Lepisosteus oculatus: one gene and its partner. Each later gene encodes a partner of the first gene's protein in a complex. Links are inferred from orthologs where the notes say so. Each region holds a gene or a part of one and is shown on either strand. Other genes may lie near its edges.

Evidence for each region.
Region 2: the proteins of ranbp9 (region 1) and gid4 are in contact, whole or in part, in a cryo-EM structure (PDB 7NSC), measured with the Homo sapiens proteins. The link is inferred for Lepisosteus oculatus from reciprocal best matches to the Homo sapiens genes RANBP9 and GID4. Residues at the interface, in NP_005484.2 of Homo sapiens: Ser223, Lys224, Gly225, Arg226, Asp227, Gly228, Tyr229, Met230, Gly256, Asp257, Thr274, Phe275, Thr276, Thr277; in NP_076957.3 of Homo sapiens: Leu187, Arg189, Asp194, Glu195, Asn216, Asp218.

The regions. Positions count from the first base shown.
Region 1 is NC_090701.1:20,160,512-20,164,263, reverse strand, and holds the start of ranbp9 (ran-binding protein 9), read right to left. Parts: upstream 2,248-3,752; 5' UTR 1,926-2,247; coding exon 1,709-1,925; intron 1-1,708. UniProt on the Homo sapiens protein: May act as scaffolding protein, and as adapter protein to couple membrane receptors to intracellular signaling pathways. Acts as a mediator of cell spreading and actin cytoskeleton rearrangement.
Region 2 is NC_090714.1:17,608,391-17,612,142, reverse strand, and holds the start of gid4 (glucose-induced degradation protein 4 homolog), read right to left. Parts: upstream 2,426-3,752; 5' UTR 2,251-2,425; coding exon 2,062-2,250; intron 719-2,061; coding exon 659-718; intron 1-658. Other genes in the region: atpaf2 (ATP synthase mitochondrial F1 complex assembly factor 2), read left to right, coding at 2,960-3,065, 3,297-3,341, 3,673-3,752.

The DNA of each region.
Region 1 (3,752 bases):
TACTATACTGTACATACGAAACACCTTATTAAATGAGTGTCCAAATCCCAGAGGAACACAGAATCTTCTGTACTTCCTATCACTTAAATGGCCCAGGTATTTTGCTAACTAGTCATTTTTAAAAATATTTTCAAGTCTCAAAACACTTCATAGCTACTGTATATTAAATTAAAGGCTGGCCCTTGCCATGTATTATTTTAAAATATGCATAAAATAAGTATTAAAAAAACAACTGAATAATGTTCAATGTGAGAAAATAAACAGATTACCGAATTAAAGGATTCAAATGGATTACAGAAGGAGCAAGCCCCCAAGTTCGATACCCTAGCCATAAAATCTACATTCTCACAAATCCTTGGGGGATAGTATCACCCCTTCCTCCCCAAGTCTGTAAAAAATATAGAATATCTGTGTTTTTTAGAGAAAAAAATAACTACATCAAAGACAAACGAAAATTAAGCAACACCTGTTAACAATCAGAAGACTTATAAGAAGAGGGGTTATTTATAGCATCTGTGTGCTCTCAGTGAAATTGATAGGCTGCTTCTTGTGTTCACAGTAACAATAAGAGCCACTCTGGTCAGCTTTATTCATCTCAGAGGACTATGCATGAGAAAATTCACACACTCTGGTCTCTCTTCCTGTTGTTTCAAGGCCTAGTGCAGCTCTTAACACTCATGTAACACCCAACATCCTTAACAATACAGTTCATTGTACAACCCTTAGCACTGCTCTGCTGTGTGTACTCTCTCCAAACCGTCCTGAGAACCACTTAGTACATCGTCTGTGGTTTTCTGGTTAAAAGCAAGACAATAAATTCTCATGAGAACACAATGTCTAGTTTGACACTTTTGAACAGATCAACCACACATGTATTATGATAATCCTTCTATTCGGGAAATGTGTGTATATTACGAACGAACAGTAGTTACACATGTGTACAGGCCTGTCCAACTGTCTCATAAACTGCGGCAAATGCAGGACAACTGAAGATGCTTAAAAATAATCGGTTTGACAATAAAGTGTTCTAGGGCAGACACCATATGTATATTTTTTGAACAGAACAAATATCAGACTCCTTCTGAACATCTGAACTTAGATACAGTCTCTGCGCAGTCCTCTCCCAGCTGTTTCGCTGGCTTTGTTCATGTTTATGTAACTAATCCTGAAAAACTGGGTTGAGCAATCTTGCTCTGCGTCTTACGGCAAGTACAGTAGTCGGTAGCTAAAGAACCATCCCGTATTTGTTTTTCCTCTACGGCCCAGAGTTCATTGTAATATATGAGCAACAGGAAAACCCGATCTATAGGTTTTTTTTTTAGATCACCACTCGACAACTGATCGAAAAAAAGTAAAAATATATGATAACACCAAATAATGTCGTATCACATTTTGTTTATATATATATTACACATAGCACAGTAACAACGAGCCAAAGCTGCCGTGACATTTAAAATAACACGGGTTATTTTACAACGATCGCAGTCACTATTTCGTTGCTGTTCAGGCCTGCACCAAAGATGTCTCGGCTTGTTAGCTATAGACTACAGAGGCCGCGTCTTTGTACCCCTTCCTGATGCGGGGATTGCTTGTTTTTTATTAGCATTTTTCTTTGTCGGTGGGTATTAAATCTTTGCCTGGGGTACGCTTGGAAAGTACACGTTTGTTGGAAGACACGTCACTCTCGCAGCCCCCCTCCCCTCCGTACCTTTGTAATGCACCCGGAGATTGTTCTGGGAGAGACCGATGTAGCTGAACTTGTCCTTGGGGCTCCAGGATCGGGGCAGCGGGGTCTCCTGCTCGTTCACCGCCGGATACAGCCGCCTGAGCCGCTGGTTCAGCTCCCTTTCCTGCTCGTTGAGCGCTGAGTCCCCATGAACCACAACCGACATCAGAAACCCACAGCCCGATGACTGCCCGGACATGGCGATCGGGATTGTTTTTGTCTATTAAAAAAATACTAAATAACTACAATAACAACTACAACAATAAATTAATTTTTACTAAATGCCGCAAGAAGGAGGGAAAAGGGCTACTAGTTTAAAACAAAGCAAATAATCTGACGGACACAATTAAAACCAGACATGGACAGATAGCTCTTTTGTTTGTTGTTAGTGCATGATCCCCAGATCTGATTGGAGCCCACAAGCTCCGGTCAAACTAAAAAAACACACTTCTCCCTCTGCCAGGCGCGACTAATCAATGCTCCACTGCGCGATCCCCCCTTCCCCCCTATTTTTGAAGAAAATAGTCGAGAAGCAGAACAGACATAAGTAGCAGATTTAAATAAAATATATTATTATTCCTCAAATTAAATTACAGTGCATTGATAAATTCAGAAGTGACATTGAAACGAATGCTTACTAACAGTACAATATTAATCTTTGTCGTCATCAACATCATCATCACATAATTCATCATAATTAGGTTGTAATAACGAGGAGGTTATTTTATATCACTATTGTATAATGCGTGTGATTTGAAAACTAAAATGTGGTTACACTAAATCTTCTACTTAGCACCGTCGTTGCAATTTCAGTGCAAAAGGTTCCAGTCCAAAACCAGCAGGGAGAGATACATTACAGCAACAGTTTTAAAGATACAGTTTACATTCTTCTAGCAATTTAATGAAAATTTAGAGAGTGAACTGGTGAGCATTTTAAACCAACATCATTTGACACCAACTGCAATCTCCACTAGGGAGAAACAGAAATAATTGAAGGTTGTTTTCACTGACCACCATCTGGGTTTAAGAGCAACACTAGTTTCAGTTCAATATACAGTATTAGATATATCACAAAACTGTATGTATATATGCAGTTTTATTGTTTTTCATAAACAGACCTTCCATTACTCCAAGCAGCTTAAGGTATAGCATGATTTATGTACACATACATATATTTTTATATTTTTAAATAGATTCGACAAAATGTACAGTATGTGTACAGTGGCTTGCAAATTTATTCAGACTCTTAACAACTTTTCAAAGGGTGCTGGATCACAAATAATACACATCTTCTTCAATCAACATTTTTATTGCACACTCACATGCTCAAAAACAATTTACTTCAAATTTGTTTAGAAATTTCAGCAGATATCTCAAAGCGAGACAAAAACTGAACTATGCTGCTTGCATAAGTATTCAGACCCCACACATTAATATTTGGTGGAGCCACCATAGGCCACCTTAAGTCATTTGGGGTAGATGTCTAACAGCTTTGCACACTGATTAGACCTGATGTTCTCCCATTCCTCTTGGCAGATTGGTTGTAGCTCATTCAGGTTTATTGGATAGTGCTTGTGGACCACAACTTTCAAATCATACCATAGATTTTCCATGGAGTTTAGGTCAGGACTTTGAGCCACTCGAGGACATAAGATTTTTATTCTTGATCCACTCCAATGTTGCTCCAATGTCCTTTACAGCTTTTCAAATGTTGCTGGATTACAAATGATACACACACGCCTTCTTTCCTATCAGAAGTTATGTGTTAGGGGCACTGTATATATATGATATACATCAAGTGGAGAACTGCATCAGTGTGTGTTGGCTGCAAAGGAACAAGTAAAGGTCAATTCCACACTGAAAAATAGAAATACAACTTTTTGGCTGTTGATCCTTTTTCTTTTGACTCGCAAATGAAGATGGCTCAACAGGAGAAACACTGTATTTTGTTTTCCTATTTTATTTGTTCTTATTAAAATACATCTGCATCTTTCCGAGCTGAAAAAGAAATGTTCAAATAATTCTA
Region 2 (3,752 bases), on another chromosome or scaffold:
TGGGGTTTAGCTACAAATATGCTTAAACAATTTGTTTTGTGATGAAGGGGCATCTTATAAAGCAACAATCCACTAATAGCTGAACTCAGAATCTCCCAACCAACTTCCAAATATTAGTTCAGCACACTGGATATTGCCCCAGTAATGGATCAGCCAAGTCCATATTCATTTAGCCTTCCAAAACTTCACCTCGATCTTAATACCAGCACCCCTCATATAGCAGCCAATACTCTCCTCTATGGGCTACTGATGCTCACAGAACACAGCCCCTCCTGGAACAGCAGCTCTTCCTCTGAACCACCCCACCGACAGGTGAGGTATGTTTAACAGCAAAAAAAGTCACCGTAAAAATGGAGCCCCAGTGAAAGGAACTGCACATCAATCAGATCTGAGTAAAACCCTGTATGGCAGAAGTCTGAATGAGAACAACTGCTGCTACTGAATAAATATAACCAAGGCTGCAAGTTCCAGATGACGCAGAAATGCAACCTTAACCCGCCAGAAATACTTATCAACTGTGAAAAAGAGAAAACCAGAGAACTGGCACAAGCGACAACAAAGGAAGCAGAAACGTGAAGGTACCAGCTCGGCAGGTGTAAATCTCCCTTCAAACTGAACACCACAACACTCCCGTGAGCCACAGCTGTCTGAATCTCACCTCTGTCAGTCCTTTGATCTTAAGGTACCCGCACAAGTACGAGTCTTCCATCGTAACGTGCTGTCAAGGCAAAAAATGACAATATCGTCATGACAGCCAGTTCGGAGCATTACAACACGGTCTCAGATTTGAACTACCTGACTAAACAGCGGCATTGTTTTTAAATATTTGAAGCATGAGTCAAACACTGTTTCAATGTGAATCATCGGGGCTCCAACAGTTCCAACTTCCATCGGAGTCTAATTACTGGTGCTCAGAACCTACATACCTAGTGAGGCAAGGAATGACAGGCCCTCACTGCAGCCCCTGCTGCTTCTGCAGACCTACTTTGTAATTGAGGCTAAAAATCCAGTTTTTCTAAGCCAAGTGTGACACTTGAGACAATTTTAATTAACCCAGCTTCCGACACTAAAAACCCTTCCTCTGAGAGTGACTGCACAAGAAGAAAAGTGTATAATTTACCTTCAGCAGCACACATTTCACAAATTGATGTGTTGCAATATCATGTGCGCATGTTGTAGAGGAATGGTGAGCTTTAATAATAATAATGCAAACAGGTAAAGGTTTATTCCCCGCTGAAAACCGAAGAAAAGAAACAATGTTTCGGCCGTGGAGCCTTCTTCGGGTGACACCTGAAAAAGGCTGCACAGCCGAAACGTTGTGTTTCTTTTCTTCCTCTTCAGCATGGAATAAACCTTTACCTGTTCCTTTGCAGCCTACGCATGCTGAGCTGACGCAGCTATTATTAAAGTAGTTCAAGTAGGTAATGTGACTGAAATGCCACATCATTGCCGGGCAAAATACAAGCACCTTTGCTGGACCAGTTTCACAGAGTTCATTTTAACCTCCTATAAAACTCTCACAGTCCGAGGTACACTTTGTATGTGACAAGGATCACGTCATTTACAGCGCAGGTCTGGCTGCTGTGACGACTATGAAGAGGGCAACTGAGGATCTGGATGTCTTCAGTGACTGTTGTGCTTTTGGTACCAAGCCTAACCTGAAAAGCATAAGCCTTAGAACCTCCAATATTGTTGTATTTAACACTTATAAATTATTTTAAGTCAAACAACACAGTCCTAGGAGGTTAGAAATTGCTACAGTCGACTTTTTACTGGGGCTGTTCGAGCTAAGAAGAAGTTCTCAATAAAACTGAAACAGTGAAAGATTGAAAACAAAAACACCACAATCCACCTCGATAACACCACAGGGATAAGAACGATTTCAACACAACTTAATGTGAGATTGATCTCAACTGAGAAACGCGTCTACAAGTTTTTAGTTAATCACCTCCCCAGTGATATTAATACGTCTATGATAATATTACGTCGTTTTACTGGCCAGATTGTATGTTAGTCGATGACACTAGGCTCCGGTATAAATACTCTTCGTTTCTTACTTACCTGCAAAACAACCTCGACATCGTACGAATTCCCTTTGCTCTTCTGGTGTCCGCGGAACTTGGAGCCGCTGTACAGGAGCGAGGTGGCGACACCCGGCTGCTGCGTGTTGATTGGGGGAGGCGGGATAAGCGAGGCCGAGGCTATAAAGGCCGCACAGGCGGTACTGCAGCACTCGGTCCGGACCGGCATGTTTATCACGTCTGAAGGTCGCCCCAGCTATGGCCGACGTACGCCACAGAGACGGTAACAAAAAGGGGACAGGGGGAGAACTGTCGAGGCGGCTCACCGACTCACGAATTCTCCCCAGCCGCCGAGAGATGCGCTACCAGGGTCCCAGCAAACAGTAGGGACCTCAACGCAGCACCACGCAGCAACATCCCGCCAGCCTATTGGCCAGGGGAGCGCACCTGGCAAAGAAACCGCCGCTCATTGGATGGCCTTCTGAAATGCATTTTGGGACTTGTAGGTCTTCTAGCCCCGATCTGTAGTTTTTCCTCCGTTCTCCCGCAGTCGAACTCCACCTCCCATAACCCACCTCAGTGACCTTCGGACTGTTTCCGCCCCGTTCCTCAGGTTTCCCAGCGGCCATTGGAGAGCGTGTCCGAGGAGCAGTGACGCGCTTGAGGTCACTGACATGGCGGCGCCCATGCGGTTGAGCAGGTTATGACTGACCCTGGGAATGCGATTCTTTAAAGGGGAACACGTCCAAAAACACCATTAAAATATATGTGTATTGATTGCCGGGTAACTAGGATTCGATAATGCAGTGTGATAATGCATAATTTAATCAAGTGTCATAAGTCCCTATGACATGCTTTAATGCTTTGGTTACCCTGCAAAAGCGCATGAAATCGATTTGAGGTCGTGATTCCCGAAATAAGAAGAATCTGTCAGAGAGATGTTGCGGGGTCTGGCCCGGTTGTGCAGGAGAGGCGGCACCGCTGTCCAGTCACCGTGCGGCTGTGTCGCTGCAAGCTCGCCGGCATACTCTACTGCGACCCCGGGTAAGAGCCGGGTTCTGCCCGGCGTGTGGGAACTCGTGTCGCTTTGTTAGTCAATCGCTGATTCCGATGTAATTGCACAACAAGCTGGATGCCCGTAATGCGGCAAATGTATTCTTGTGTTCCGTTCTTACACAACCATGGTGACGTCTCTAGGTTAGATCATGAAAATACATTCTCTCTGTTTTTAATTGCCCGGTTCAATCAGATATTCGTATTTGCTTGTATCCACAGGGAGGAAGAAGTTCTACCAGGACGTCAGTATTTCACAAGGACAAGGTGCGGTATGAAACACATCCTGTTTTTTTCCTGAGGTAGACTGTAACAGATAACAGTTTTGTTTTAATATTGTGTCTCCTTTTTGTATTTATGACGATTCAATAAAAACTAAAAAAGAAAGAAAGAAACGACAGCAAGCCGTTTGGCTGATCTTGCCCGTCTCCAGCAGAGCTGTATTTGTCTTGTATTTTGTATTGTTCTGCAAGTGGATAAGTGTGTGAAACAGTGTCTCAGTGCTCCGCTGTGGTGAGGAATGTGCAGACGAGGTCCGGATCGGCTCAGGCTGAGTGATGTGCCGTGCTGTTCAGCGCCCGGTCTCCTGCGCCTGCAGGTGGGCTGTTTGAGATAAACCTGGACCGCGGGAAGCTGAAGACCCCGGGAGGGAAGTTGTTCACAGTGCCCAGCGAAGTC